Linked DNA regions of Saccharomyces cerevisiae S288C. The gene in region 2 interacts genetically with the main gene of each other region. Each region holds a gene or a part of one and is shown on either strand. Other genes may lie near its edges.

Region 1 (6,650 bases), on a different chromosome or scaffold from region 2:
ATTCAGAAAAATGCCGAAGATAAATTGAACGATTACATGAATGAACACCAGGAAATTGTTGAGAAACTTCAGAATCAGGCTTTGATTGCTTCAAGATGGAGCACTCAAATTCAAGAGTCAGAAAACACACATAAGAAAATTACTGACGAGTTAGCTGGAAAACAAAGTGAAATATTAAAACTCGAAGAAACAATTCTATCACTAAAAGAAGATGTATTCCAAGAGAAGCTGAATTTAAAAAAACTATATGGTGATCCTTCTACCGAACTTAATTTTGAAACTGTTGGAAAATCTTTTCCACATATAACGAAGGAAAAGTACGACTCCTTGGGTCTTGATATTCTGACAGACCTTACCTATGTGCAATCGCAAAATCTAATCAAAAATTTATTAATTGTGTTGGATATCCCATTAAAAACCTTCTTAAAAATTGTACCAACAATTGTCATTCAACTTAGATGTGAGCTTACACTTCTCACAAAATTTGCTAATGATTTGAACCTTAAGGTTTTTGGTAAACAGTTAGATTTCAAAAGTAGAAGAAAGGTCGCAATGAATGAGTTTTTGAACAATCATGATATTGCTGAAGTAAAGCATCCTCTTGAGTATGATTTGCAAGCGTTGTTTAAATATTTCTTTTCTTAGCTTTTTTTTTTTTATTTAGAACTAATATATTCAATGGTGTCATTAATTATTATTTAGAGAATAAGTTACTGGTGGGGGGTGCACCTAAAATAAAGTCACATAATATAGAGCATGGCAGATATTTTACCGCTGGTATTGCTTTTCCGAAATTTTGGTGGAATATTCTTCTGAAAGATTTCAATTTGCTAACAGACTTCTTAAGCACTTACAAGAACAATGTAACTTCTGATCTGCTGTTGGAGATGTTCTGAGATATAAACAAAATTTACATCAAAAGGCGAGTAATACAATGATACAAATGATTATAAGTACATACTAATGTTACAATTTCTAATTCCATTTTAGTCAGAATATACTATGTTGTATAATAATAAAATAATGTCCATTTCCATAGCATACTGGTAAGATTTTATTGAAATAGGCAAAGAAAAAAGCAAAGAACTCTAATAAGAACGACAAACCTCGAAATCTGAGGGGAAGGAGAAGAAAAAAAGGAAAATGAGGGGAAACTTACAGTTTCTGCCTATTATTTGTTTATTTCACCTTGTATGACCGTTGTGGTCGAATCTTTGACTGTGACAGGAGTTTTTATGTCACATTCGGAATAATCGATTGTTTTACTTTGCATAACGGTGGAAATAAAATGGTTGATTGATTCGTAGTTATCTAATTTTTGTAACTGCACATCTTTTAAAAGATTCATTAAAAATTTCGGAACCATTGCCATTTCTTCATTGTGAGTAATCAGGTAATCAACTATCTCAATAGCCAAAAAGTAATTTTCTCCCTTGTTTTGAGCGAATGAATCAACTAAACCTGATTCTGGTTCGTCAGGGACGTTATCATTGGAAATTTCTTTATGTCGCAAATATAAAATATTAGGTGTTATGACTGTGGATAAATTGTGAATGTCCATTTTTGATCCCATTTCATTCTCAATGTAAGAGAATGAGGACGTCCAATGCAAAAATGACAAAAGTGCCTCCAGTAAATTGCGATTGTAAGTGGGTAATAAGGAATATATTAGCAATATAACACGCTGTTTCTCATCCTCTAAATCAATTTTCGCGGCCTTAATCCATAGTTCATATAAGTCTGTCGATAAAATCGGTTGGGGAAGCTCTCTGATAAATTTCTTCAAAAGAGCAGATAATTGGATTGCATTTTCTTTCGAGAAGTCTGGAGCTTCTGTTGGATTACTGTCGATGTTAGCAGTTAGTTCTCTCAGTCTTCTGATATTTCCATTTTTCCTGAAAATACCTTCTACTGACATATCCATTTGCCTCAAAGATGATATTAGCTCGTCAATAATTATGGGGATCCTAATCTTCACTGGCCCCACACCTAAATCGGAATCAACACCCCATTTCTCGCACAACACATCTAAAGGAGCACCAAAAACAGTCTTAGTGATGGGCTTTTTAGGCTCCATGCTCATCATGATTTTCATTCTGTTCCAAAAGCTACCTGTGACTTGCTTTTCATTCGAGAAGACCATTGAGACTAAGCTAGTATAGTTAGGATCAGTCTTCGATATCAGTTGTTTACCAGCTAGCAGTGACAAACTGATAGCCCTTATCATCGAGAGTTCCATCGTACTTAATTCAGAGTAATAAACTCCGCTTTTCTTGGGAACAACATTCGAAGTTTCGTCATCGGTTTCTTTTAGTTTTTTAAAGTGTGCAAAAGCGTTAGGTCTTAGCTCCCTTGCTTGTTCAGCGGCAACAATACGTGAAATATCATCTAGTGTCAACGTCTTAGTATTACTGAAAACATTTTCACGTGTGCTCACTTGTTGGCTCGATGATGGGTCATCTGTTTGAATCACAAGATTTTTACTATCTCCTTGTTTTGTCGGGTCATTTAAATCTGTCTCTGCAGTTTCCAGTATCACTGATTTTCTAGCTTGTTGTTTGTTATGAGTGACCCGAACACTTTCTCTTCTAGATCTCAATCTTTTAATATCATTCAGTGTCCTAATGTAAGTTTGTTCCTTTAGCATAGTACTCTGTAAAGAGTTTCTGCCTACCTTGTTAGATGCTTTCGATTTCAACATTACAGTTCTTGATTTGACTAGGGCAATTTTTAGAAGAAAAATTAGTTGTGCTAGCTTAGTAACAAATTTGAAACCCGGCACAGAGGCCGGATCATCAATTGAGCAGTGAGAACATAGTATCTTTTTTTTCTCTTTATTAAAGGTGGGATCCGTCAAACTCCTCGGATTTATATTCTTATGGCATGAAGAACAAGTAAAACAAGCAATATGCCACCGGTGCTCATAAAATTGAATGCATTCCTCCTGTATGTATTTATTGCATCCAGCGCAACTATCTGTGGCGTTAACAGGAGTCTTTATATACTGAAACGGGTTATTTTCAAAAAGCTCATTTTTCTCTACTTCTCTTAAAAACCTCAACAATGGATTAACAGAATGAGTCAACTTATTGTTTTCTAGAGCCGTATATAGCCCAAATCTTGTTAACAGTTTTAGAAAATGGGCTAATCCAGTAATAACAGACATAAAAGATGAAATTGTGATAGTTTCGTTTTTGTTTTCTGTCCCTAACTTTCTTAAGAGTTGTAAATATATCATAATTTTTGTGGACAGATTTTTGGGAAACTTGCTGTATTTACTGGCCGCCATTGCGTTGTTTTCAATGCATTCTTGATCACTGTTAACTGGCATACTTTTGTTCGTCGAGAGGTTTAAAGTATCCAGTCCCCGGAAAAGACAGTCGATTTTTAGTACCAACAGACCCGTAGACTCTATGCCCTTTAACTGATCATTGCTTGTCAAATATTGAAACATATCAGAAATGCAAGAAGCTGCCTCTTCCTCAAAACGATATAAAACCGACCACGTTTTAGATAGAATAAAGTTAAACGCCTGCATTTGTTTATCTAACTCGTAGGCAGTTGGGTTTATATCTTTGTCTCCGGAATTTGGGTTATATTCCAGCTTGGGAAGGTACTGCAAACCAACAGTTTCTGCTGCTAAATTTACATGCCAATATTTATGAATTCCATAACATTCCGGATGCCAACAATGTATTTCTTCACCTTTAGGAAACTCGATATATTGATCCGATATTGGGAACTCGCACCCTTTGCAACGTTTCGAAAAATACTTGAGAAAGTGGTACTTGCAATACAATTGGTTTCCGTACATGAAGCATTTTTTAACCCCACAAGGAGTAGCACATATTGTACAAGAAAAATGCTCTTCGTCGTATCTGTAACCGAATGCGGTATAATATAATCCACGCAATGGGGTATCACATACATGACATAACAAATTATGTCTTCTAAAATAATCGTATTGGCATAACAATATAGATTCACTTGTCTTGTCTACTTGATATGGGAAGTACTTCGGTTTTAAAGGTTTCTGACAGTCTTGGCAGGTAAAACAACTTTCATGATAATATTTACCGAGAGCCTTTAAAGTTGTTTTAGTTCGTTGGCTATCGGGTATAACTAACTTGTTACAACGGGCGCATATTTTCTTCTGATTCTTCACCTGCACGGTCATCGGAGATGCAGTATTCAGCGATCGATAACCAGCAGAATTTTGAATCATTGCTCACCTCCGGTACTTGTTGTTTGATAATTTGTCTGCTCTTTTTTTCTTTGGATTTGAATAAATACGGTTGCGTATATCTGGGATAAAGGCCAAATAACAATGTTAAGGCAAAGACGGATACTGTTTTGAATGAGAAGCCCAATTGCTGGTTTCTAGCAAGAACAGCCTTGGTTGGCTCGAGAGGAATGATTTACATATTTTAAATTCTCAAATGACGTTTCAGATTCTGTTCTTATTTGTTTTCCATTTTGTTTACATCTTCCGTGCCCATCAATACCCGGCATACTTTGAAGACGAAAAAGATACTTACATAAAGATAAGGATATACTCGCCAAGATCGATTTCTTGAAGTAAATACTTTGTGGGGAGGTGTTGTAGCGATGGGCTAACCTGCAAGCATTAAGTTATATTTACTAGTGAGGTACGTTGTAGAAAAGTGCGTTACAACGAGAAGTAATTCAAACGTAAGTAGCACATGCGGGCTTCTTGATATATTTGCTAGCTCAAAAAGCTAACTGAGTACAACATGGGGGCCACCCATGTTGATTATGTTCTGGTCGTAAAGTGATCTTTTACGGGTTATATTGTTTGCCCATAATTTCAGTTTTGAGGTGCCTATCGCTTCTTCTCGTTTTGTTTTGGGAACGTTTGAGTATTTACTTTATAGTGCACTTTTTTGCGTTTTCATCTCTTGACTGTTCGAAAACCAATGTTGGTGAAGGAAATAGCTAAGTATGACCTCGCCTTAAACCAATCTTAGTATCCTGTCTCTTTGCCACAGCTATTTCCTACTTCCATTAAGATCAATTTCTTTGCTATTGGAATCACAGGCGACTTAGAATGCATTTTCTATACTAGTAATTCGCAATTTTCTTGTTTTCCACAACGGTTTAATACTAAGCAGATGATATGACAATATGGCAAACATGATATACAGAAGAGAGCTTAATGGGACCAACTAAAGTTAGATGACACCATGGTCCAATTTTCTGAGCATGAACAACGGCAGAACAATAGCTGAACTGGACCGATTTGATTTTTGAACAGGAAATCTGTAATTTTTTATGCTTTGTTTTATGTAGCGATTTTATGATTATTGTTAATTATACATCTCACAAAAGCCAAGAAGAAATCTGAAAAAGTGAGCCCACACGTAGACTATTTGACGCTCATGAAAGTTGTCAAGCCTTGTGTTAGCGTTAACGTACTTCATTTAAAACATGGCCGCTTCGTGAGAAGTGGAAGCATAGTATCGATATTTTCTATAATCTAAATTATTTTAGTGCCCATAATGCAGTATACTGTATCGTATAGGAGTTCTGACTTGCTAATGTAACACAGTAGACTTCACCTTCACTTATGGATACCATTGGCTTATTAAGACATCAGAGTTCATTAAATGAATAGTAACAATCCTTGCGCAAAAAAAGGCGTCGATGACGCACTTTTGCGTTCAAGTTTTATATACTTGGAAAGCTATGACTGATGAGACGGACCTGTTTCGCATAGAAATTCGGTGCTTAACATGTAATTGCACCTTTGTTTTTGAGAAATCCATGAATTTCGCGGTAAAGGCTCGATTAATGATTATTCTATATATATGTACTATAAGCCGATTATCGCAGTTTTTCCAGCCTCCTTAGTAAATTACCCACTGTTTTAAGATGAGTCCTACTGACGGGTTACATTTTTATAGTCTTTCTTCTCAGGCGACCCAAAGTTCTGTCTGACTGTCTCGTATTATATGTAGAAACGATAAAAAATTATATGGTGGCTACTGCGACCACCAATCCAAAGTGTCATACCTTGAGAATTAGACAATTGTATACAACACTAGCATGAACAGTATGGTAAATTTGGCGAGAGAATGAGAAGGCCTTGTATTATGTATTCCCGCATTGGTTTCTGTACCTTTCCCTTGCAGAAAACCACATGCATAAAAGTCGCTTGCCACATAACTCGCATTTGTGAAGCCATGCGAACCACACGTAAACGTTTCAGGACTTTCAGCAGGCTGCCCAGTGAGAAATGTATCATAAAAAATTGAATAAGTTGGGTTCTTTTCTTTAGCAGTTTTCTTTCCTTCAGCTACCCCACAATTATAAATTTCTGTCGGCGTATAGGTTTGATTAATATAGCCCTTGCTACCGCACTTAAACAATAGAGCATTTTCAGTTACGTTCATTTTTTTGTGTCTCTATTATAGATTTTTCTTGGGTGTGATGCAAAAATCGCTGATAGGAATTATAATAAAGGAATATATATATATATATATATATATATATATATATATAGGTACTAATTGGCTTTTCTTATACGCCTCCTATTGATTCACTGCCGAAAGTGCCCTGTTATATACGACAATCATACGCCTGTTTGCAAATAGTCAACATATTCAACTCGGAAGGTAAAAGATGAAAAG
Region 2 (6,676 bases):
GTGAAGAGAGCAGTACTTCACCTTACGATATACCTGAAGAAGCACTTTCTCAAAAAATATGCATCTTAATTCGGAGAGAAGATGATCCCTACAATGGGGCCAATATCTTCATAACATCTGCTTTGACCTAGTTTAGCCCACCGAGATTTTTGCTTTATAAATATTTTAGCATACTTTGCATTCATATACATATTCATATGTATAAATATTCTTTAAATTTTAACGCCGACTTCGAACTAATTAGCAGTCAAAACCCAAATGTAATGACCTTATGGTGTTATAGCATAATTCTTCTTGGTGTACAATTCCATTCTGAATAGTTCAACGATTTTAGATATAGTTAGATATGATATTATAATAAAATATACAAATATGTATCATTGTTAGTACAAGTTAAACCTAAATATAATAAAGCCAACCAAGACAGGAACCAGTAGAAAAATTTATACAAATGACAAAGAAAAACAAACGGTATTTTCCTATTTATTAAAAATGCTTGAGCGAATGGATATTTTAACACATTAGTGTCCTAAAGGACAATTGGATTTGAAAATAAAATGACAGTAATAGACAAAAAGAAAACTGAATGAATGAATGGACGTATGGATTGCTTAATGAATGAATGAATTAAATAATAGTTGGGCGTAAGTTCAGAAGATGAGGAATTTAAAACAAAAATAATCGTTGACAAAAAACGATTCAAAAAAAAATTAGATCATTTTGGTAGGGAGCAATGCTAACCCTGCAAAGGCAGTGGGAGGATTTTGGATACGTGTTCGGAAACAGAATACAAAATATAAAGATGGCAATAGTTTGCTTTACCATTTTTTTCCGGCTCAAATTTTGGGACTTTAGTAGGACGTCATTGCTTAGTTGAATTTTTTATTTTTTATTTTTTATTTTTCTTTTGTCTTTGATTTCTGCGTAAAATATTTGTACAGTAAGAAGGAAAGAAAAAGAAAGAAAAAAAAGTATTATGGCAAAGTGAATTGAAGTTCATCAGATGTTCTAGCGGTATTCATGGCAGGCATATTGGAAATACTAGCGTTGCGGCTCATATTAACTTGATTATATGGGCCTTGACCAATATGCTGCGACTTCATTGACAAACTTGAATCCCAGTTTGCACCTTCCGTTTGATATTGCATACGAGGCACAAAAGATTCATTGAAGTTTTGACTATTTGCATTAGAGTATGGCGAGAAGTGATTAGCATTAATTTTGTCGGTTTCATTCATCATAAATCCAGGCTGCTTAAATCCCCTTGAAACATTAGGATTCACATTGGTAATGTTAGATGATGAGAACGAATGGATTGGTGCAGCAGAATTAGGATGTGCCATTAAATTTGCAAACTGGCGGTTGTCGAAGTTTTGTAACGAGTTATGGCTTACCAATGGTGGGTTAGTTTGAGAATTGAAAGAAGGTGCTCCCATCGAGGGATATGCGTTTTGGTTGAAGTTCATAATTTGTTGCGGAGAGTGAATTTTCTGATCTTGTGCATATTGGTTTGAGAAATTATTGGTTACAGAGCTGTTACTTCTTCTATGGTAAGCATTAGCTGGTAAAGAAAAATGACGGGTATGACTCTTTTGATTATTATTGTTATTATTATTGTGAGCATGGTTATGATTATGATTATGATTATGATTATGACTATTTTTGTTATGGGGGTTCTTATTTTCGTTGTTAATCGTTTGAAGATTGTTATGACTCATTGCAGTGACTTGAGGAGATATGTCAGTGAATGGTATACCTGTGGCTTCTGCATAAGCTTTAACTTTCAACTTAATTTTCTTTGCATAGGATGTAGTTTTAATACTTGGAAGTAATTCTTTTGTAAGGACAATCAAGTTACCAATTTTCAATGAAAAATCGTTACAAAAGTTACCGTAATTCAATGTACTAGAGCTGTTTTGCCCAATTGCGTTACTATTTTTGTTGTAAGCAAGCAGAGGAGAATAATTCTTAACGTCTAATAGCGTTTGTAACGCATAATTACCAAAATTATCCCTGATTAGCACATTTAAATTGACTGTGAATATATCAATGGTAGTCAAAAGAATGTTCATAGAAGCATTAATCACGTCATCAGAAGCAACTGCAGTCCTTTGGGAGGCACCCCCATTGTTATTAACAATAAATCCAGTAATGATTCTAAATAATTTTTTAATGAATTTTTCCACAACATTTGAGGAGAACTTCAAACAAGATAGTTGACATAATTCATTGGATAAACGGTTAAATAACTCAGCCAATAAGTAAAAGTCCAATTCTTTGATATCTAACAGAAATTGGATGATATAATTACCGAACTGATCGTTGATTAATCCAGGAAGGAACTGCACAATTTTCACAGAAATTTTGAAAATTTGTTGTAGAGTACAAACGCTTAGTAATTTTTGTAGTACGCAACAACCATGTTTATGGGTAGAAATGGTAATGATATTATTTTGTTCTACAATAGCATCTATGATGAAACCAAATTTTGATGGCGAGAATTTGAAAATACACTTTTGAATCACATGGTTACCATTAAGATCGTTTATCAAAGTAACCACTTGCTCAATCGAAGTAAATTCTTGGGAAAATCCCTTAATAATGAGATCGATTTGAACTTCGTTATCGACAGTGTCTATAATTTTCTGTAAGGAACGAGTTCCGTACTGATTGATTGATATTTGGAAAACATTTGGATATATTGTTTGTATTAATAATGTCTTTTGCTCGGCAGTTAAATAATCGCATAGTTTTTGAACCAAATAGTTACCGAACGGATCCAAAATAAGGTCCAAGAAAAATGGCTTAATTTGTTCATACATCAAGTCTCTCACCATATTGGATTCACTGGGGGTTTCTAATTTTTTTTGAAGAAAACGGCAGCCAAACTGGTCAGTGGCAAGTTTGATATAATCCAGATCTCTAAGGGGTAGTGCGCTGATTTCGACCATAGATGAAGACGTTGAGCTACTCAAACCAAATGACGAATTATCCACTCCACATTTGGAAGCAGCATTATTACTATTGCTAAAATTTCTGAGAGATGCAGCAGGAGTCACTGAAGAGGATGGTGTTTCCATAATTAAACTGGAGGTATTGACACCAGAGTTCGAAGGAGCAACAACCGTGAAATCGTGGCTTGATTTTCTCCTGGGACCATCCATTTCCAGATCAAACTCATTGATTAATGGTAGAATGGCTGGAGGATTTGCCATTGAGGCTGAAAGCCCAGTGGAGTTGCTAGCAGCATTAGGATTCGGGGAAAAAGAGTTAGCAGAATTCGATGTTGATGTATTATTCATCAAAGCCAAGGGAGATTGTGTCGATGATATGAACTGATTAAAACCAGAGAGATCAAGCGAATGAGCCTTTTGATGGTTTCTTTTGTTATTCATCTGGCCCAAAGGCGGAGGGGTCACGGGCTCCAAGAGTGATTGGACGGAGTTAATAGATAGTTGAGGCTGATGATTGTAAGACATTAAGGAGTTATTTGATGTAGACGTAGTTAAAATCGATGCTGAGTCGGCAGATGGAAATGGTTCGTTATTGATCTGATTGAATAAAAGAATGTTGTGTTAGTAAAGTGAAACCACAAAAATAAGGCGTGTGCAGAGCCGATTTTGGAGTATAAGCCTAGGATCAATTTCGATAACTGAGAAAGAGAACAATCACAACCATGTACAGTGTCCAGGTGGCCTGAGATGCGTGAGAATCAAGAGTAAATCTATCTATAAAGTTCGACTTCAATGGCGACAGAGGATGGCAAAAAAAGAGGACAGGAAAAGAGGAAGACAAAACACAAAATTTATGCTTGATTTTAGAATGAAACCTATAACCATAAAGAGTAAAATCCTTATAACTCTCAACGAATCTGCATAAATTTTTCATAGATCTTCGAATCTTTTCTTTTTTTTTTTTTTTTTGCTCATTTTTGCCTGAGGCGCCTCTTTCCCGAAGCCCTTCTTTCGAGAAAATCCTTATAGGCATATTCGAGAAATAAGGTAGGGTCAAGTATCAGAAATTCCATACGACATAAACGGAGATTGTTAGACCGCTAAAAAAGGCGTGTCGATAGGCTGATCCCACTGAAGCTGGTTTTTGGTTATTATGCTATTTGTTGTTAGAAGATCCCGTTAAAGCTTATGCTCCATTGGCGAAGAAAAATATTGGGAATTAAGAGATAATACATACCATAAGAGAAACTGGAAAAATCGTAATTGATTTATAAATTTGCGTAGAATTCGCTTTACTATGTGTTGGAGAGGAGTTGAGGAGGTTTTTTTTTTTTTTTTTTTGGTTTTTTAGCTTTTATCTTAAGGAATAGTAAAAGTGGCGGTTGTAGTAGCAGGCTTTTGCTGATCCGTAGTCCAAATCTAGTAATTTCAAGGCGCTTGACTTCTTGATGTTATTACCTTTCTTTTATTACTTAACTTGCCAATCAATGATGTGTCAATGATCTTCTCGGGGCTAGCAGATCTGTTCTTTTTTACCTGTTCTCTTTTTGTGTGAAAAGATAAAGTAAATTATGAAATAGGCTGATCTTGATGTTGACTCAACAGTACCCAAGGTTTTGAAATGTGAATTGTGTTCAGTATATTCAATGTTTCAGATATATATTGAAAGGAAACCACCTATTATGCTTTTTAGGCCTCTATGTAAGAAAATCTATACGTTTAACACAGATGCGAACCAGGAAAGAAGAAGAGTTCTTGTAGGCCACGTTTAAGAATGGCAAGAGAGAAAAAAAGAATGATCACAAGAAAACTGATTTCAGAATTGTAATATCGGACGGCAATACTAGTGTAATCTGAACCACAAGGTTAGTCTTAGCTGGGTAAAACACCTGGCGAAAGAAGAAAAAAAATAAGGAATCTGGATGATTATAAACTTTTTTAAATTACCCTTCTTTTATACATGAAAAGGGCATACAGCATACATAAACGGTAAAGAAAAAGAGGCAATCGTCAGTATTAATTGGCTCTAAGCTAGTCCAGGAAATAACCGCGTATAAATCCAAACCGTACTTCAGAACATTCAGATCTTTCTAGCTACTTGAAAGCGCGTACCATTTCCCCAACCTTAATATGTATATTTTATCACTCACTATGCAGTACTAGGCCGCTTCTTTCTATTGCTTTTCAGATTGCCAGATGCAATATATCCCGCTTCGGAATTATTAAAAATTTAGGGGTTGGCCAGATGTTTAGAACCTCGCTTTCCAGTTAATTGCTTTAGGAAAAGAAAGGCCAATATTGTTGTCATTTTTGTATTTTTTGCGCGGTACTGACCTTTTACTGCGGCGTTTCGCGTTTTTTTGGCATTTCGCGTTTCAGTGCGGCCCCCCCTCCCCAAAAAAATGGCGTATATTTTTAGTTAGTTTCTTCATCGTTCGATGCCTAAGCCGAGAATTTCAGAAGGCTTCTAAGGGCCAGAGTAAAGAGATCCATTGAGCCCCCACCCAGTTGGCAGCGGATGCCGAAGGGCGGAAGGAAGGGGCGTGTATAGGCTTCTTTACGAGAGCAAAAGACATTACAACGTACAAGGGACATTCCGTTCCCTTGTACGTCATGTTAATGAGCAAGAAACCGCTCACCGGCAATGGTTGGTGGTAGTGGTAGTATGGACTCTTTGGGTGATGAAAAGTAATCAGAACATTCTGCAATTTCTTTACATTTCCAATACTTGCTCCATTTAATCCTTTCCTTAGGTGGCGATAGCCCACGCGAAAGACGACCTAGGGTCAGGAGATTATCAATGCACTTGAGGCTTTAACTACTATGGCTTAAGAAGGGTAGCTACTTTATTTTTGTGCTTTTAAGAAATGTAATCATTAATTAAGTAATTAGGAGGTCAAGACGAAAACCATAAATAGATTGTGTAGAAGGGGCCGTACATTTTGTTTCTTATGCAATGTGGTAGTTTCGTTTACCGCCCTCGCCGGTCCATCACAGCATTTTGGAGTTCCTTTCTAAGGTCCATCGGAGCACCTTTATTTTTTTTGCGCTTCGGATAAATTGCATTTGGTTGATAACTTCCATCTCCACCCGTCCCCTCGCACCGGACCTTTTAAAGATCCCTTTGTATATAATAAACCAACGGGTCCTATAAAGACTACCGCTGATATCTTCGGTTTGCACAACGTCCTTCAGCAAGCAAAATATGGCTGTTTTTATTCTCTGTATGTCCTCATTGATGAGGACTCGCAACAATCTTGGCTATTTTTTTCGTTGAGCATACCCGGTCCCTGAATCTTTTGTGCGGGTATTATACGAAGAGCGGGTGTGCCTTACTTATCCGCGCGGTATATAAAGCCATACATTGTTAGGACAGGTGTCCCCAATAAGAAACACTACTTGTAAGTGGTATATAATGCTCGAGCCTCTAGTGACTCGTACTCTACGCCTTGAAATTGCTGCGCACATATTCTGCATATAAAAAGGAAGCTTTGAAGAATATGGTACTACTTAAAGAACCTGTTCAGCCGCTGCCTCGATCATCTCTGTTATATAATAATGCGAGCAATAGTAGTAGTCGTATAAAAGAGACAAGAAAAGTCAAACTATTATATAATCCCTTAACTAAGAGACAAATCCTTAACAACTTTGAAATTTTAGCCACTTTGGGTAATGGACAGTACGGCAAAGTGAAATTAGCAAGAGATCTCGGGACAGGTGCG
Region 3 (4,968 bases), 540 kb from region 2:
CAGAAGAAGAGGTTCTGGAGGAGTACGAATGGGATGACCTAGATGAAGAAGATTGTGATGATCCCTTAATGGTGAGCGAAGAGGTTAATGATATCTTCGATTATTTGCATCACTTGGAAATAATCACATTGCCAAATAAGGCGAATCTCTATAAGCATAAAAATATTAAGCAAAACAGAGACATTTTGGTGAACTGGATAATCAAGATTCATAATAAGTTTGGCCTTCTGCCGGAAACTCTATATTTGGCCATAAACATAATGGATAGATTTCTTTGTGAAGAGGTGGTTCAGTTAAATAGATTGCAACTGGTTGGTACATCATGCCTGTTCATCGCATCTAAGTATGAGGAAATATACTCCCCTAGCATAAAACATTTTGCGTACGAGACAGACGGTGCATGCTCTGTGGAAGATATTAAAGAGGGTGAAAGATTTATATTGGAAAAACTCGATTTTCAAATTAGTTTCGCTAACCCAATGAATTTCTTAAGGAGAATATCAAAAGCGGATGACTATGATATCCAGTCTAGGACGTTAGCGAAGTTCCTAATGGAAATATCTATAGTGGACTTCAAGTTCATCGGGATATTACCGTCATTATGTGCCTCAGCGGCAATGTTCCTTTCGAGAAAAATGCTGGGCAAGGGCACCTGGGATGGCAACTTAATCCATTATAGTGGTGGTTACACAAAGGCAAAACTATATCCCGTTTGCCAATTACTGATGGATTATCTTGTTGGATCTACTATTCACGACGAGTTCTTGAAAAAATATCAATCGAGAAGATTTTTAAAGGCTTCCATAATTTCTATCGAATGGGCATTGAAGGTAAGGAAAAATGGATATGATATTATGACATTGCATGAGTGAAGGTGCTAGCCTACACAGAAAACCAAAATCTCACTTCCTTACTTTATCATCTATTTTATAGAAAAATCAGGCATTCATTATTCATATAACGGTTATCTCATATATATTATCACACGGTATCAGTTTTGTAGGCTGTAATAATTAATTCATTTATAAATTTTTTCTCCCATAATTGGAAAATTATCTTTAAAGTGAGGAATAATGCATTTTCTTTCTTTTTTTGAATACATAAAAGAAATAAAGAAGTATGTCTATCGATGATATTTAAGATGCAGGGGGTTAGCTGGCTATAATTTTGATCTATGTTTCAACGTTTTTGTTTACACCAGTCAAAAACCTTGAAATAAACCATGCCATGTTTAGGCTTTTTGTATTTAAGTCTCAAGGAATCTAGATTCGTATCAGGTACAGCAATATCTTCAACTAGTTCACTGATAAAATCCTTAAACGCTGGATCTGATTCAATATCAATGCCGCCACTATAATGAATAAAAGTTTCATCCCATTTGGAATTTTCATTTTTAATTTTTCTGGCGATATACATGGACATTGCAGCTAAATATGATGGCTTCAGGTGGATGAATTTATTACAACAAATCGAATATTCCATGATGAATTTGGCCATGTTCCTTGTTTCAATGCAGTAATTGTCAGCTTTTGAAATTCTCCTAATGAAATTTAGGGGGTTTGGTAGAGATATGTTATAACCTAAAGAACTTAGAACGAATAGCTCAGCCTTCCTAATTCCTTCGACAGTGGCAGCACCGTCAGTCACGTACGCAAAATTTGTTATTTTTGGTAATTTAACTTCTTCAAATTTACAGGCAATGAACAGGCAAGTGATGCATAGTAGTTGTAATTTATTCAATTTAACAACATTTTGTGATAAAAATCGATCTAGCAGGTTGATCGCTAAAAATAATGTTTCAGGTAAGCAGTGAAATTTCTCATGAACTTCAACCAACCAGTCAATTAACAGCGCCCTCATGGAGCTTTTCAAATGATAGGGAGATTGCGTGTCCATTAAATAGTTATGTGTCGGTAGCATTTGGATTTCCTTCTCGTAAAGATGAGAAAATATAGAATCTGTATATTCTGCTACCATGAATGGATCATCCATCTCTATCGAATCCAAATTTTTCCATTGATGACATTTTATTTTTTTCACAGTTTTTGGCTCTATAGGATCGGTTGAATCATTTGATAATTGTCTCTTTCTTGTTTTTTCCAAATGGGTGGAATCTCTTTGCAATTTACCTCGAGGGAGTTGTAAAGAATCGATTTTGTTACTGTTTACCTCGGATAGAACTTTTTTTTCATTCGTAGAGTGAGGTGTCAAGTTAATTGAACTTTCTCTTGGAATGGTATGGAAAGCATTTTCCTTGCCTATACAATCTTCATTATTAATTTGGATTTTCCTTTCACTAATTGGACTAGGGATACAATTCATTTTAAAAATTTAAAAGGAGGGAGAGAATATCAGAGAATAATAATTTTCAACACACTGATTTGTATGTTGTATGAACGCTAGATTAGTGAAGCTTGTTATTATTTAATAAAAGATAAAAGTCACTTGTATGAAATGAAGCAGTTATATATATGTTAATAAGAAAAAGGCAAAAACTTAACCCTAGCAAAAAAGGTAATCAATGTGCTAAAACGGTAAATATTTAAACGCAGGTTGCGAATTGCCAATTGCCAATTGTAGGATACACAGGGAGAGTAGAAACAACCAAGTCCTGTGTCCTGTGGTAGACCCACTTGTTTTACCGCAGAGGGCCCTTTTTTTGTTTACCGTCGCAAAAAAAAAACGCGAAGAATACGCGTTGGTCGTTAAATTTTGTGGTACGCGTAAAACTGCTATTTGGTATCCTCTTTAGGGACGCGCCCATTGTCTATACGGTAATATAGGGCTTTCTTCATTACCTGCTTGCGTCAATTAGCTTTACTCATGTAACACATAATAACCTCTTACATTGTAATGAGGCCCAAAAAAAAAAAAAGAACATCTTCAAAAAAAAAAAACTTTCATGGAAGGACCACCTAGTTAATAAAAAGCTCGCACTCAGGATCGAACTAAGGACCAACAGATTTGCAATCTGCTGCGCTACCACTGCGCCATACGAGCTTGATTTTCTGAAAGTGTTGTATCTCAAAATGAGATATGTCAGTATGACAATACGTCACCCTGAACGTTCATAAAACACATATGAAACAACCTTATAACAAAACGAACAACATGAGACAAAACCCGACCTTCCCTAGCTGAACTACCCAAAGTATAAATGCCTGAACAATTAGTTTAGATCCGAGATTCCGCGCTTCCACCACTTAGTATGATTCATATTTTATATAATATATAAGATAAGTAACATTCCGTGAATTAATCTGATAAACTGTTTTGACAACTGGTTACTTCCCTAAGACTGTTTATATTAGGATTGTCAAGACACTCCGGTATTACTCGAGCCCGTAATACAACACCTGGTAGCGTTAAAGGTTACTAATTGTTCAAACGAACCATCGAAAAGCCGAACCTAGCTACACCACACCCCAGTATGAGCTTTATGGATCAAATCCCAGGAGGAGGAAATTATCCAAAACTCCCAGTAGAATGCCTTCCTAACTTCCCGATCCAACCATCTTTGACCTTCAGAGGTAGAAATGACTCGCATAAACTGAAAAACTTTATCTCCGAAATAATGTTAAACATGTCTATGATATCTTGGCCGAATGATGCCAGTCGTATTGTGTACTGCAGAAGACATTTATTAAACCCCGCTGCTCAGTGGGCTAATGACTTTGTACAAGAACAAGGTATACTTGAAATAACATTCGACACATTCATACAAGGATTATATCAGCATTTCTATAAGCCACCAGATATCAATAAAATCTTTAATGCAATCACGCAACTTTCCGAAGCTAAACTTGGTATTGAGCGTCTCAACCAACGATTCAGAAAGATTTGGGACAGAATGCCACCAGACTTCATGACCGAAAAAGCTGCCATAATGACATATACTAGGCTATTGACAAAGGAAACCTATAATATTGTCAGAATGCACAAACCAGAGACATTAAAAGACGCCATGGAAGAGGCTTACCAGACAACTGCACTAACTGAAAGATTCTTCCCAGGATTCGAACTTGATGCTGATGGAGACACTATCATCGGTGCCACAACCCACTTACAAGAAGAATACGACTCTGACTATGATTCAGAAGATAATCTGACCCAGAATGGATACGTCCATACCGTAAGGACAAGAAGATCTTACAATAAACCAATGTCAAATCATCGAAACAGGAGAAATAACAACCCATCTAGAGAAGAATGTATAAAAAATCGGCTATGCTTCTATTGTAAGAAAGAGGGACATCGCCTGAACGAATGTAGAGCACGTAAGGCGAGTTCTAACCGATCTTGAACTCGAATCAAAAGACCAACAAACTCCTTTTATCAAAACCTTACCAATTGTACACTATATCGCCATCCCCGAGATGGACAATACCGCCGAAAAAACCATAAAAATACAAAACACGAAAGTAAAAACCCTGTTTGACAGTGGATCACCCACGTCATTTATCCGAAGAGATATTGTAGAACTTCTCAAATACGAAATCTACGAGACCCCTCCACTCCGTTTTAGAGGATTCGTAGCCACCAAATCCGCCGTTACATCCGAAGCAGTCACCATTGACCTCAAAATCAATGACCTGCATATAACTTTAGCCGCGTACATACTGGATAACATGGACTACCAATTGTTAATTGGAAATCCAATCTTACGCCGCTACCCGAAAATCCTGCACACAGTACTGAATACCAGAGAGAGCCCCGACTCCTTAAAGCCCAAGACTTATCGCTCCGAAACCGTTAATAACGTTAGAACCTACTCCGCTGGTAATCGTGGTAACCCCAGAAACATAAAACTGTCTTTTGCCCCCACCATTCTCGAAGCAACTGACCCGAAATCCGCTGGTAATCGTGGTGACTCCAGAACCAAAACCCTGTCTCTTGCAACCACTACTCCTGCAGCAATTGACCCGCTTACGACCCTTGATAACCCAGGTAGTACTCAAAGTACATTTG
Region 4 (6,354 bases), on a different chromosome or scaffold from region 2:
TTTTCGAATCGTTTTTTAGAGAGATAACTGGTTTTGTCATGGCATGGACATTTGGATACGCCCTAATCGGATGAACATATAAGAACTACTTCTATAAACGGTTAGAAACAGGCTTGATTTATTATGTACAGTAAATATAATGTTATTTGTGTTTTTTTTTTTTAAATTTTTTTAGTTCCTTCTATGTAAAAAGACATGACAACAGTATTCTCAGTCAAATGATTTCAAATACACAATGTTAAATTCTCTATCTGTTGCAGAAATAAGAAGAGCGTAAGAGCGCAAAGATTTTTGCAGAAAAATAGAGATGAGGTACAAAAAGTAGGTAATGGAAAAAAGCAAATAATGAATATAGGGGAACATAAATGTTATGGACAAGAGTAGATATCAAAATAAAACAAAATAAAATAGAGTAAGTGAAAGACAAATGGAGGAAAAAAAAAAAAAAAAAAAAAAAAAAAAAATAGTAAAAAGTGAAAGGAGAACGATGATAACACTAATCACACCTCCGCATTTTCAACCAATGCTGCAAGTTTCTCAACACTGGCTAAATGTCTATTTCCTAGGGAGTTAGATTTGTTTAGTTTATCCAAATATGCTCTAATGGCAATGACGATCAATTTCTTACCCTCACCCTCAGAGACATTAACTAATTTTTGAATCACATAGTTGGCAAATTGATCCTTGATCATTAAAATCATTGGAGAATCGTCTTCCAGATTCAAAGCATGATTTTTGTCTCTTGGTAAAATCTTAGAAATTATTAAATCCTTCTGATTTTTAGAGCCATAAAGAATAGATTTTTCGACCACGTTGGAGGCAAATTTATGTTTAGAGTATTCGACAACATTATTGGCCACAGTTTCTATGATTTCCTGTTTGATATCGACCATTTCCTTATTGGTGAACTGATCTTGTTGCAAAACATATTGAATGACATAGTTACCATATTGGTCTTGAATTAGATATGGTATGAAATCTTTCAATTCGTTTAAAATGCTTTCCTGATCTTCGCTCGAACCAAATTCTAACAATCTTTGAATGACCCTACAGCCGTAGGAGTGGGTAGATAGATGGTAAATGTGGCCAGTTAAAGAACTTAAGATAAAAGGTAATTTTTCGATAGGAATTGTTTCGATGGCCTTTTGAATTACGTGATTACCGTTCTGATCTTTGATCATTTGCAAAACGGAGTCAGATAATTCCAGGACTAACTCAATTCTTTGATTGGAATCAATATATTCTAACGCCTTTTGAATTACACGACATGCGTACATTTGTAGAGATAACTGTTTCATGTTACCTTTAAATTGATCAACCAAAGTATTTTTTTGAATTTTGCTACCAAATTCAAAAAACTTCTGAATGACGTAATTACCAAATACATCGTTCGAAAGCTCAATGGCGTCATCGCGAATTTCATTGAATATGACCTCCTTTTCTGAGGCTGGTGAGGTGGCCAACTCGCGCTGAATGAACCGTGAACCATGTTGATCTTTGCAAAACTCTAAGGAATGGCCAAAGATGTCTTTTAGTGACATGTTCGAGTTTGAATTTTTGTCAGAACTACTGTTTCTTAGTTGCTCTAACAACGGCGATCGATGATACGTTTGCTGCTGTTGCTGTAGACTTTGAGAATGAGGATGAGAATGAGAGTGAGATTTATGGTTGTTGGCCGTTGACTCATTAGATTTGGAAGAAGCATTCTTTTTAGAGGTATTCTTTGTGGGTATAGAATTTTCTAGATAAGGATTTGCCTGTTTGTTGGCGTTGTTGGAGTTATTTGCAGGATGATTCTTGTTATTTCTTTTCTTGAAGGTTTTTTCGTCCTTGGGCATTTTGACAGGTATAGGATTTGGAGTAGGGTAGTAAATATAAGGATTCTCCTGTTGCTGTTGCTGTTGTTGGTCTTCTTGTTGTTGTTGTTGTTGCTGTTGCTGTTGTTGCTGGGGAGCAGAGAGTGGTGGAGGTGGCATAAACATCATTGGGTTGGGGTAGGCAAACGGGAACGGAGAATTGTTTGGAGGGGACGAAGGTGAAGAAACAGAAGAAGGTCTGTTTGCCTTCTTCTTTTTCTTACCATTTGAGTCTTCGGTGTCTTCATTTGCTGGAATCTGTACTGAAATCATCTGGGAGATGAAATTTGAAGGAGATCCGATCAAGTAGTTGGGGAAGTTTTGGTAATGAGGGCCCTGATGAAACTGATTGGGTGGGAAGCCGTTCATGTAGGGGGGGAAATTGTTATTTGCAGGCCCATCTTGTTGGTTAGGAAGCGCGACATTTGTGGCCCCAACAGCGGCTGGATTGTTACTAGGTCTAAATACTGGTGTGTTGGCTACGTTCCAGATATTTCTCTTGGGGTAATGAGCATTTTCGGACTCTAAAGACGCAGATGAGCCTGAATTTGAACTGGAGTGGTAAAGCGAACCACTGTTAGTAGTGTTCCTATTCAATTTGTTGAAGTTTTTGTCAGACTCGACATTTTGCTCGAAAGTATTCTGTGTGTCTAAGCTGGCGTTAGAGACGCTTTTTGATATGAATTGGGACTGAGTATTGACAGCGTCGGGTCTATCTTGAGATTCCAGTTCCCTTGTACCGTCAATCAAAGATTTTCCGAACTTCTCAAAAAACCCTTCCCCACCAGAGTTGTTGTTGTCATTGCCATTGTAGTAAACGGGACCAGCAATGGAAGCTGAATACTGGCCCAGAAGATGGTTGACCTTGTTGTTTTTCCCGAGATTAGCCGCAGTATGATGAGTATGATAGTTATTGTACGATGCGGATGACAGGGAGGCAGTGTCGGTTGATCTGTACTGGTAATAATTGCCGCCGTTACCAAAAAACTTTTTCGAGTTCGTGGAGAATGGCGGAGCAGTACCAACTGATAGGGCGGTTTTCTTGAAGATCGGTGAAGATTCACTGGAACCGTGAAGCAGCAAGATCTCTGAATCTACTTCATTTGCCGTGGTGAAACTCGACCTTCTGAAGCCGCCAATTTGCTGTGATCCAGCAGCACCGCCGTTCACAATGCCGGCCGCGGCGGCCTGACCGCCGTTGTTGTTACTATGGGACAGGGCGCTTAAAGAAGAAACTATGGATGCGAGTTCCATATCCATATCCATATCCATGTTCATTTCCATTTATACCCGCAATATTGCGTTATTCAGAAGAAATTTAAATGCGTAGTTCTTGTTTGTTTTCTTGTTTGCTTGCGTACTTCTATGCTTATAGATATATCAGTAGCAAGGAAGTTTCCTTTTCACCGCCTTTCAATGTTCCTATCTTTTTCTTATGTTTCTCTTTAGAGACCAGATGACCAGAAAAAAATTAGCTAAGCAGTGTTATACTATTTACAGTAGATATTCAAATATGTGCAGGCACCACTTATTTTTCTTTTTCCTTCTTTTCTTTGTTTTTTTTTTTCTCCTATTCATCAAGCTTCATACATCCAATATACATTCTCAAGTGTGCTAATGGTACATTTGGGAAATTATCTTCCTCTCTCCACAATTTTTAGAAGGAAAAAAGAAATGCAGTTCAGGGTAACAGAGTGCGCAATTACCGTAGATAGCGATCGGATGTTTATCTTTAGCCCTCTTTTTCTAGCTCAAACCCCGGCACGAATTTTTTAGGTCTTGCTGCTCTGCCCTCGGGCACTTTTCTTCGAGAAGTTCTGGGGCGGTCTGATCGGGAAAAAACGTTCCCTTTTCGGACGTATCGCAGGCAATGTGCAAAAGCTTATTATATACGAGAAAAGAAACGCGAAGGAACGAAAGAAGATGAAAAAAATGCAGCGATAAAATGATATTGTGGTTAATCTAAATTTATATATATATATATATATACATATATATATAGAAATCTATTGTTATACACAAAAATACTTATTTTTTAATATAGATGGCTGCAGATAAAGTAATAGTTTTATATATAGGTATATTTACTGCACAATTCACACGATGGGTGTTTCTGCGGTGTTGAAAAGAGCTAGGAATTTACTAGCAACGTTCATAGTCTGCTGTTTTATGGCAGTAGTGCTTGTTCTGGCGCTGGCACACCATTTTATAAATGAGCACAGAGACACTAGGAGTTCATCGACCCAAATCGAAGTTGATGACGAAAGTAAAAGAAACGTACACCATGACCATGTTCTCACTAGAACCAATGCATACGCGACGCCATACCTCGATCTGGAACATGACAAGAAAAACGGTATCGTCTACGATCATACAAGAACGGTTGTCCGTAAAAAGAACCACGAAGTGGGGTCCTCGTCACTGCATAAAAACCTTTTTCACAAATTTTTGACAAAGCTTATTTTTAGGTTTATCGAGAAGGAAAAAGTTACCGAAGGCGTAACGCAAGGAAAGTTCAATAATAGTAGCAATGAAATTGCCAATCATGAACCGGTTTTTGAAAAAATTCCTGTACAGTGCGACAATCCATTACAGAATCTAATCTTATCGGAAGACTTGACATTAGTTGCGGATCTTAATTATTATTTTAACCAGTACAATATTCAAATAGAGGAATTTAGATTGGAGACCGAAGATGGGTTTGTTATAGATTTGTGGCACTTGATACCAAAATATAGAACGACAGATTCTGACAAGAAGAAGAGGCCACCCATTTTGATGCTACATGGCCTTTTGCAAAGCAGTGGTTCGTTCGCATCCAATGGTAGAAAATCTCTGGCATATTTTCTGTATCAATCCGGTTACGACATATGGTTAGGGAATAACAGATGCGGGTTTAGGCCGGAATGGAACGAAGCGAAAGTACCGACACTAGCTTCCAGGTGGGACTGGGACCTTCGCGAGATGGTTAAGTACGATCTGACCCTTTTGATTGATACCGTGTTAGCTAAGACGCAGTTTGAAAAGCTTACTTTGATCTCGCATTCTCAGGGCACTACACAGGGGTTTATGGGCTTGGTCAACGAAGATAAGTTTTTCCCTCCCGGTTCGGGATCTAAAGAATCTTTTTTCACTTCTAAGATCGCAAACTATATTGCCTTGGCCCCCGCAGTGTATCCTGGTCCCTTACTTAACGAGAAATTGTTTGTTAAGCTTATGACAAAGGAAATCGAAAATCCCTGGTTCTTTGGTGAAACGAGCTTTTTTGAGATAATGATGATTGTAAGAAACTTGTGCGTTGGTGAGAGCTTGTTCTCCTTTGTTTGTTACACCATCTTCAATTACCTGTTTGATTGGAACGATACCCTTTGGGATACCGCATTAAGAGATCGCCATTTCCTGTTTTCGCCAGTCCATGTTTCAGTGAAGTTGATGCAATGGTGGCTGTCACCCGACCCCAACAAGGTAAGTTTTAAATTTGGTTCCCATAAGATGTTCCCCGACAATGTTAAGTGGTTTTCAGACGCATCAAAGGCCCCAAATATCTACTTGTTTGTTCCAAAGCAAGATAGATTGGTGGACGGAGAAAGACTAATCAATCATTTCGTCAATGTGGAGTCGAATGTCAACTACAAGATCTGGTACATTGATGAGTATGCCCATATTGATGTCCTATGGGCACATGATGTCATAGAGAGAATTGGTAAACCAATTTTACAGAATTTGAACAACTATTACTCCAAGAAGCCATCCAGCGCCTTTGAAAGTGATTGTTCGGACACAGAGGTGGAAACGGAGCTGGAAATGGTTGCTGAGAAGGCTTGAAGAGGAAGCATGATATATAGGTTAATATAAATTATACTTGGGAATACATAGATAGAGGGCTAGTAAATTTTTAGTTTTTAATTGTTCTTTTTTTTTGAAGTATTGTGTCACAAATTGTCGGGAGTTGGGACATCACCGTGCATAACGATACATTTTTTTGAAAAATTTGATATTGAAAAAAAATCGATGAGTTTGAATTACATTACAGTTGTATAAAGCAACCGCATTTCATTAACGTAGTTTGACTCGCGAAGATAAGGCGTTAAAATGAAGATTAAGACCATTAAAAGAAGTGCTGATGACTATGTCCCTGTTAAAAGTACGCAGGAATCTCAAATGCCCAGGAATTTGAACCCTGAATTGCATCCTTTTGAAAGGGCACGTGAATATACTAAAGCTTTGAATGCCACCAAATTGGAAAGAATGTTTGCTAAACCCTTTGTGGGTCAGTTAGGATACGGTCATAGAGATGGTGTTTATGCTATTGCCAAAAATTATGGTAGTCTGAATAAATTGGCTACTGGTTCTGCAGATGGTGTGATTAAATACTGGAACATGTCTACTAGAGAAGAATTTGTTTCCTTTAAGGCGCATTATGGACTCGTTACTGGTCTTTGTGTGACACAGCCTCGTTTTCATGACAAGAAGCCAGATTTGAAGAGCCAAAATTTTA

Evidence for each region.
Region 1: of MPT5 (region 2) and LRG1, a mutation in one rescues a mutant of the other (synthetic rescue), as found in Saccharomyces cerevisiae (2 studies listed by BioGRID).
Region 3: mutations in MPT5 (region 2) and CLB6 impair growth when combined (synthetic growth defect), as found in Saccharomyces cerevisiae (one study listed by BioGRID).
Region 4: of MPT5 (region 2) and PUF3, changing one suppresses a phenotype caused by changing the other (phenotypic suppression), as found in Saccharomyces cerevisiae (one study listed by BioGRID).

What each region holds. Positions count from the first base shown.
Region 1 is NC_001136.10:20,398-27,047, reverse strand, and holds LRG1 (GTPase-activating protein LRG1), read right to left. Parts: upstream 4,226-6,650; coding exon 1,172-4,225; downstream 1-1,171. Other genes in the region: ADY3 (Ady3p), read left to right, coding at 1-645; YDL241W (uncharacterized protein), read right to left, coding at 6,042-6,413. UniProt on the Saccharomyces cerevisiae protein: Acts in signal transduction. Activates CDC42, RHO1 and RHO2. Negatively regulates 1,3-beta-glucan synthesis. May be responsible for the down-regulation of CDC42 during mating.
Region 2 is NC_001139.9:164,870-171,545, reverse strand, and holds MPT5 (Mpt5p), read right to left. Parts: upstream 4,195-6,676; coding exon 4,192-4,194; intron 3,552-4,191; coding exon 975-3,551; downstream 1-974. Other genes in the region: YGL176C (uncharacterized protein), read left to right, coding at 1-131; serine/threonine protein kinase TOS3, read left to right, coding at 6,455-6,676. UniProt on the Saccharomyces cerevisiae protein: RNA-binding protein involved in post-transcriptional regulation. Negatively regulates expression of HO by binding to the 3'-UTR of HO mRNA. Predominantly binds to mRNAs encoding chromatin modifiers and spindle pole body components.
Region 3 is NC_001139.9:704,180-709,147, forward strand, and holds CLB6 (B-type cyclin CLB6), read right to left. Parts: upstream 2,323-4,968; coding exon 1,180-2,322; downstream 1-1,179. Other genes in the region: B-type cyclin CLB1, read left to right, coding at 1-872; YGR109W-A (gag protein), read left to right, coding at 3,431-4,303. UniProt on the Saccharomyces cerevisiae protein: Involved in G1/S and or S phase progression. Interacts with CDC28.
Region 4 is NC_001144.5:121,575-127,928, forward strand, and holds PUF3 (mRNA-binding protein PUF3), read right to left. Parts: upstream 3,141-6,354; coding exon 501-3,140; downstream 1-500. Other genes in the region: EMC6 (Emc6p), read left to right, coding at 1-74; YEH1 (sterol esterase), read left to right, coding at 3,960-5,681; rRNA-processing protein SOF1, read left to right, coding at 5,949-6,354. UniProt on the Saccharomyces cerevisiae protein: RNA-binding protein involved in post-transcriptional regulation. Negatively regulates expression of COX17 by binding to the 3'-UTR of COX17 mRNA. Promotes decay of COX17 mRNA by enhancing its rate of deadenylation and subsequent turnover.